Macaca fascicularis: one gene and its partner. The protein of the gene in region 1 binds, or shares a complex with, the protein of each later gene. Links are inferred from orthologs where the notes say so. Each region holds a gene or a part of one and is shown on either strand. Other genes may lie near its edges.

Region 1 (3,812 bases):
TACTCAGGAAGCTGAGGTGGGAGGATCGCTTGAGCTTGGGGAGGTTGAGGCTGCAGTGAGCCGTGATCGTGCCACTGCACTCCAGCCTGGGCAACAAAGAGAGACCCTATCTCAAATAATAGTAACATTTGACCTTAATTTTTTCTCCATATTTCATGCTCCTGCCAGACAACAGGAGAGGTTAAAAACCCTGGTCCAGCCACAGTAAGATGGAAATAATTGCCCTGCACATCCAGCCTACCTCCCAGGGTGGTGGCTCCAGCAAGACCTCGTCGGACATTCATAGGGGCCACAGAATACCAGACCCCATCCTCATCTGCTGTGTAGTCTAGACATTCCACTGAACTAAGGCGGGAACGGCCATCATAGCCACCAATGACGTAGATCCGGTCATGTAGGGACACTGAGGCCACATAACGTCTCTTACGAGTGATGCTCTATGGATTTGGAGAGAAGAGGTACAGAGCATTTCAGTTAGGCAAGTTTTAGGCCTTACCTTTTGCCATCTTCCCTGTTGCATCTGCACACCTCTATGCTTCTTCACCTGTTATCATGAACCCTCCCTGAGTGGTTCATCCTCAAGTGGCTCCCAAATAGCTATCTACTGAACGAAATGCTTGTGGTGCTCTTAAAGATACAAGCTTTCTGCACATCTGCCTCTTTCCAAGGCTTCCAAAAGATTTAACAGTCTTCTGTTATCTAGTATCTGACTCCTTTCTTTTCCATAAGGCACTGGGCTAAGAGACTGATATCCTTCCATAAAGTGGAAAAGTATTCCCACACTGCTAATCAAAGGGCCAGGATTTATTACAAGAACCTTAAAAGGTAGAAGGGTTGGATTTCCATGTTTTCTTAGAAAGTACTATTGTTCATTCAGCACTGAAAGAGACATGCTGAGGAAGACAGATACAAACTTTTTTTTTTTTTTTCCTGAGTTGGGATCTCACTGTCACCAAGGCTGGACTGCAGTGGCACAATCACAGCTCACTGCAACCTCGAACTCCTGGGCTCAAGCAATCCTCTGCCACAGCCTCCCAAGTAGCTAAGGACTACAGGCATGCACCACCATGCCTGGCTAATTTTTTTGTTTACTTTTTTGTAGAGACAGAGTCTCACCATATTGCCCAGGCTGGTCTTGAACTCCTGGCCTCAAGGGATCCTCCCATCTCAGCTTCCCAAAGGGCTGGGATTACAGGTGTGAGCTACCATGCCCAGCCCAAACTTAGCTCAACTGAACACTAGGTTCAATTACACACAATTTAACATTCAGTTCAGTTTAACACAGCATGACCAATGAAATGTGCTGGGAATTATACAGACAGCTTGGCAAGGCACCTAACTAGTGGTGGCCATCTGAGTTTACCTTGACACAGGGCCACTGACATTACTAAGGCATAATCTTCTAATCTAAACAGTCAAAAACTGTTTAGTGAGTACCTACTATGTGCACAAGACTGCTGTAAGAAACATGATCCTGTTATTAGGCTTTTCTACTCTTAAGGCTGGATTAGCTACGATCTGGAGCCAGAGACTAAGGACATTTAAGCTCCCTCCCAACGAATAGCTTTTCTACTCCTAAGGCTGGATTAGCTATGATCTGGACCCAGAGACTGAGGACATTTAAGCTCCCTCCCAACGAATGGTTTCACCATTATTTACTGGCAAAAAGCTCCACTCCTGAGTCTTGGGGTCGTATTTCTCTACCACGTCGATGGGAGACTGCTGGCTTCCGAAGCCCCCAACCACCAAAAGCACTTCATTGGCTCCTGAAGACAAAGGCAGAAAAAAGATGGGTTAGTTCAGCATCCCTGGATGGGTAACTAGTCACAGGGAAGTGTCAACAGAAACAGTTCTAGGATGTCTTGTTTTATGTGACTGAGGGATGCAATCTGAAATGGGAGATAATCATAAGGCTGTCGAATGGGGAGTTATTTCTCCTTGAGGCTGTAGCTCTCAAGTCTCTGAAACTTAAATTTCTGGACAACATTAAAACTCTAGAAAGCAAACTTCAACATGACACTGCACCATTTCTTTTTTTTTTTTTTTTTTTTGGAGACAGAGTTTCACTCTTGTTGCCCAAGCTGGAGTGCAATGGCACAATCTCGGCTCACCACAACCTCCACCTCCTGGGCTCAAGTGATTCTCCTGCCTCAGCCTCCCAAGTAGCTGGGATTACAGGCATATGCCACCATGCCTGGCTAATTTTGTATTTTTAGCAGAGATGGGGTTTCTCCACGTTGGTCAGGCTGGTCCTGAACTCCCGACCTCAGGTGATCTGCCAGCCTCAACCTCCCAAAGTGCTGGGATTACAGGCGTGAGCCACCGTGCCCGGCAACACTGCACCATTTCAACCTATTGAGATGACTGGCTGACATAATACTTGAGGTCTTAAGTGCAGGTGAGAGGCTAAAGGCACTCTCTGCACTTCTCAGCCTGAAAAAACCCAAATTGGGAGGGTTTTTTTGTTGTAATAGGGAAAGAACTCTCCTAACCTTGTCACAAAAAAAAGCTGCATGTTGAAACTTAGGATCCAAGTGATGGATTTAAAGTCTCTTTTTCTGAATTGAGAAAGGGTCTCGCTATATTGCCCAGGCTGATCTCAAACTCCTAGCCTAAAGTGATTCTCCTGCCTCAGCCTCCCAAAGTGCTGGGATTACAGGAATGAGCCACTGTGCCTGGCCTAAAATCTCTTTTTCATGAACATTTCCTTCTCCAATGTAGTCAACTATATGATCATATTCCCTGCCAATTCATCAAAACCACAAGGCAACAAAAGACTAGAGTTTTAAAGGAAAAGTCTTTTTCTCTATTTTCCCAAAGAAGCTATTCTGACAGCCTTTATATCTTCCCCTTCCCCTAAGGCCTTACTCTGATAAAATACTTCCTACCCTGGCTCTTGGAGACAGGGTCTTGCTATATTGCCCAGGCTGGTCTCAAACTCCTGGCCTCAAGCGATATTTCTGCCTTGGCCTACCAAGTAGCTGGGGTTACAGGTATGAGCCACAGCACCTGGCTTGGCTTTTTTCAAAGAGCAAAGTCTCTTTGAGAAAATCCCCTGTGCATGTGCTCCATTAGAACTCAATTAGAACTCATGGAGAGAACAGTTAGCTGGAGCTTTGGAAAATTCAATCACTAGGAAGCATCTAGGAGACCAAAGTGATCTTACAAGTAACCTGGACTTGAAAGAGCAAATGTAGTACCTTGAAGCTGACAGGAAACACAGATAAACCCCTAATGAAGTAATGGATTTGACAATTATCATCAATTGCTGGGCTAGAATCATTATTTCAAAAGCTAACATATTACTATGAGACATTGTGTGCTTCCTAATGGTGATGAATAGGAAGGACCACACTACCATCTAATGAGTCTTTTTTCTAAAAAATTGAGGCTGACTCTTAACAACCCTCTAGTCCAACCACTAGTTTACAGGCAATACATAGGAGAAGAACATGTTAAATGACACTATAAAGATGCCAACAGCAGAGTCCAGAATGTGGGAAATTCTACAGGTCGAATAGCTTGTTTTCTTCAAGAAATAAATTGATTAGTAAAAACCAAAACAGGATGGAAACACTTTGTATTAAAAAGAGACTGAAAAGAGACATGAAATCACTAGCAACGTGTGGACTTTGGCTCCTGATTTGAACAACGTAAGTACTCAAAAACAAACAACAAAAAATTATGGAAAAAAAGTTACACATACACGTACTTATGACAATAAGGAACTGTGTGATTTTAAACAGTGATAATGGCATTCTAGATGTGTCAAAAATTTTATCCTTTTTAGAGACACACGTGGAAGTATGACA
Region 2 (3,812 bases), on another chromosome or scaffold:
TTTCTCACCTCCTTAGGCCCCGGTGGCCCGGCCCCGAATGAGTGCCCAGGAGCAGCTGGAGCGGATGCGCAGAAACCAGGAATGTGGACGGCCCCTCCCTCGCCCGACCTCCCCGCGGCTCCTCACCCTGGGAAGGACACTGTCCCCAGCCAGACGCCAGCCTGATGTGGAGCAAAGGGTGAGGAGAGGAGGACTGGGGCTGGGCGGTGGGGTGGTAGTAGGTCCTCTTCGCCTACTTTGAGTCCCTTTCTGTAAAATGGAGATAATGCCTACCTCCTTACTCCAAGCTGGATTTCCAGATTTACCTCAGTTTGTACTTGTGCTAAAGTCAGCTTCCTGGACTGGTTAGTGGTGGGTGGACAGGAGTGGCAGTGAGGGGAGGACAGTGGGTGGGGGCGGGGGGTCGCAGATCTGGATTGGAAGCCTAGTTTTTCTTCTCAGTTGCTATGTGTTGTCAACAGCAAGAAAGCAAAAAAAGAAAATGTAAGACAGCAAGAAAATTGATTTAATTCATGCCCTTTCAGTAGGGAGAACATCCCAGATCTGAGCATCAGAGTGTCTCAGATATCTCAGGATGGTTTCCCCTTAGATGTTTTCTTTTTTTGGCCGGGTGCGGTGGTTCATGCCTGTAATCCCAGCACCCTGGGAGGCCAAGGAGAGCGGATCACCTGAGGTCGGGAGTTCGAGACCAGCCTGACCAACATGGAGAAACCCCGTCTCTACTAAAAATACAAAATCAGCTGGGCGTGGTGGCGCAAGCCTATAATCCCAGCTCCTCGGGAGGCTGAGGCAGGAGAATCACTTGAACCCAGGAGGTGGAGTTTGCAGTGAGCTAAGATTGTGCCATTGCACTCCAACTTGGGCAACAAAAGTGAAACTCCGTCTCAAAAAAAAAAAAAAAGTGTTTTCTTTTTTCGAGGACGAGGTCTTGCTCTGTCTCTCAGGCTGGAGTGCAGTGGTGCGATCTCTACTCACTGCAACCTCCACCTCCTGGGTTCAAGTGATTCTCGTGCCTCAGCCTCCCGTGTAGCTGGGACTACAGGGATGCGCCACCACATCCAGCCAATTTTTGTATTTTTAGTAGAGACAGATTTTCACCACATTGGCCAGGCTGGTGTCGAGATCCTGAGCTCAAGTGATCCTCCTGCCTTGGAAGGAGGTGCTAGGAATACAAGTGTGAGCTACTGCACCTGACCTCCCCTTAGATTTTTTTTTCTTTTTTTGAGATGGAGTCTCCCTTTGTTGCCCGTGCTGGAGTGTAGTGGCGGAATCTCGGCTCACTGCAACCCCTGTCTCCCAGGTTCAAACAATTCTCCTGCCTCAGCCTCCCAAGTAGCTGGGATTGTAGGCCCACGCCACCATACCCTGCTAATTTTTTTGTGTGTTTTTAGTGGAGATGGGGTTTCACCATACTGACCAGGCTGTTCTTGAACTCCTGACCTCAAGTGATCTACTCACCTTGGCCTCCCAAAGTGCTGGGATTACAGGTGTGAGCCACTGCACCTGGCCCCTTAGACTTTTATAGAAAGGATTTAGACAGTCACGGGGGTGGTGGTGGAGGTTGGATTTCTGAACTCATGTGCTGCTTTATAGGAACACAGGTAAAGTTAAACATTGTCAGTCGCTGGGTGCTATGGCTTACCCCTGTAATCCCAGTACTTTGGGAGGCCGAGGCAGGAGTAAGAGACCAGCCTAGGCAACATAGCAAGACGTTGTCTCTACTAAAACTAAAACTAAAAATAATTAGCCAGGCATGGTGGTGTGAGCCTGAAGTTCTATTTACTCAGGAGGCTGAAGCAGGATTAGTTTGAGCCTGGGAGGTTGAGACTGCAGTGAGCTATGATCACGCTGCTGTACTCCATCCGTTCTAAAAAATGAATAAATAAAATAAATTTATTTTTATTTTTATTTATTTATTTTTTTTGAGACAGTGTCTCGCTCTGTCGCCCAGGCTGGAGTGCAGTGGCCGGATCTCAGCTCACTGCAAGCTCCGCCTCCCGGGTTTACGCCATTCTGCTGCCTCAGCCTCCCGAGTAGCTGGGACTACAGGCGCCCGCCACCTCGCCCGGCTAGTTTTTTGTATTTTTTAGTAGAGACGGGGTTTCACCGTGTTAGCCAGGATGGTCTCGATCTCCTGACCTCGTGATCCGCTTGTCTCAGCCTCCCAAAGTGCTGAGATTACAGGCTTGAGCCACCGCACCCGGCCAATAAATTAATTTTTAAAAATTCAGTGCCTACGGAAGCATAGGAAAAACAAAACAAAACATTGCCAGTGTTTTTGGGCAATTTCATTCTCTTTTGGAGCCCCTTCACTTCACCCTCAAAATGAGAATGTGGGGCTTCCAGGTGAGGAGTTCTAATGCCCCAATTCCTTTCCAGCCTGTCGTAGGACACTCGGGAGCCCAGAAATGGCTCAGAAGCTCTGGGTCTTGGAGTAGGTAAGGAACTGGAGGGCGTATCAAGGGAGCAGGAAAAAAAAATTTGCATAAGCAAAGGGGAGTAGCATTATTATTGGTCTCCTGAATATGGAACTACAAATCGCAACCCTTCTAGATATGCTTACGTTCCCGGGGCATCTGAAACAAAACCGGAAAGCCCTAGATCCGTAGTGATATCTTTAGTTCCCCAAATTCCCTTGGTCAATAGCATAGCCTGCTTTTGCATCAAGGAAATTGGGTGGTAGTGATTTCCGAATGGACTACAAATCCCATAATGCATGTGGGCGGTATGAGGGCGGTGCCATGTTTAACATCTGTTAGAGACACGTGCTAGGAACTACAACTCCCAGAAGGGCACGCGCGGTACCCGGGTCCCCACTGTGCGAGCTGTTCAGTTTTTATTTTTATTTTTACTTTTGTTTTGTTTTTTTTGTTTTGTTTGTTTGTTTTTTGAGACGGAGTCTTGCTCTGTCTCCCAGGCTGGAGTGCAATGGCACGATCTCAGTTCACTGCAACTTCCTCCTTCCGGGTTCAAGTGATTCTCCTTCCTCAGCCTCCCTAATAGCTGGGATTACAGGCGCCCATCACCATGTTTGGCTAACTTTTTTGTATTTTTTAATAGAGACTGGGTTTCCCCATGTTGGCCAGAGTGGTCTCGAACTCCTGACCTCAAGTGATCCACCCGCCTTGGCCTCCCCAGGTGCTGGGATTACAGGGATGAGCCATCGCACCTGGACTGTTTTTTTTTTTTAAATTTTTAATTTTTGTTGGTACATAGTGGGTGTACATATATTTACGGGATAAATGAGATGTTTTGATACAGGCAGGCAATGTGAAATAAGCACGTCATGGGGAATAGAGTATCCATCCCCTTTCAAGGATTTACCCTTTGATGTATAAACAATCCAATTACACACTTTATTTTAAAATGTACAATTAAATTATTATTGACTATAGTCACTCTGTTTTGCTATCTAATAGTAGGTCTTATTCATCCTTTTCTTTTTGTACCAATTAACCCTCCCCACCTCTCCCCCATGTACACACCCCACCCCCAATCTTCTTTTTTTTTTCTAGTCCAAGGAACACCACCCCTTACTTGCCGACTTCCGAAGGTCACCGGGAGCGGGTTCTCAGCCTCTCCCAAGCCCTGGCTACTGAGGCGTCGCAGTGGCACAGAATGATGACAGGTGACTGGCTGGGGATGTTGAACTTCTGGGTTTTAGGGAGGAGAAAGCTGGAGACCTGGAATCCCAGGTCCTGGAGAGGAGGGGTCTAGGGGCCGGTGGGAATTTTTTATGTTGGCGAGGAAAGAGTTGGGCAGAGTTTGGGAGTTTTAGGTCTCAGGCAAGAGTGGACTGGGTTCCGGGACAC

What was found.
Region 2: the proteins of KLHL12 (region 1) and PLEKHA4 are in contact, whole or in part, in a crystal structure (PDB 8OIO), measured with the Homo sapiens proteins. The link is inferred for Macaca fascicularis from reciprocal best matches to the Homo sapiens genes KLHL12 and PLEKHA4. Residues at the interface, in NP_067646.1 of Homo sapiens: Phe289, Arg320, Glu417, Tyr434, Ile439, Phe481, His486, Cys511, Tyr512, Tyr528, Leu533, Cys558; in NP_065955.2 of Homo sapiens: Pro177, Gly178, Gly179, Pro180.

Annotation. Positions count from the first base shown.
Region 1 is NC_088375.1:60,647,284-60,651,095, forward strand, and holds part of KLHL12 (kelch-like protein 12), read right to left. Parts: intron 1,767-3,812; coding exon 1,660-1,766; intron 438-1,659; coding exon 242-437; intron 1-241. UniProt on the Homo sapiens protein: Substrate-specific adapter of a BCR (BTB-CUL3-RBX1) E3 ubiquitin ligase complex that acts as a negative regulator of Wnt signaling pathway and ER-Golgi transport.
Region 2 is NC_088393.1:56,823,560-56,827,371, reverse strand, and holds part of PLEKHA4 (pleckstrin homology domain-containing family A member 4), read left to right. Parts: intron 1-16; coding exon 17-178; intron 179-2,379; coding exon 2,380-2,438; intron 2,439-3,515; coding exon 3,516-3,628; intron 3,629-3,812. UniProt on the Homo sapiens protein: Binds specifically to phosphatidylinositol 3-phosphate (PtdIns3P), but not to other phosphoinositides.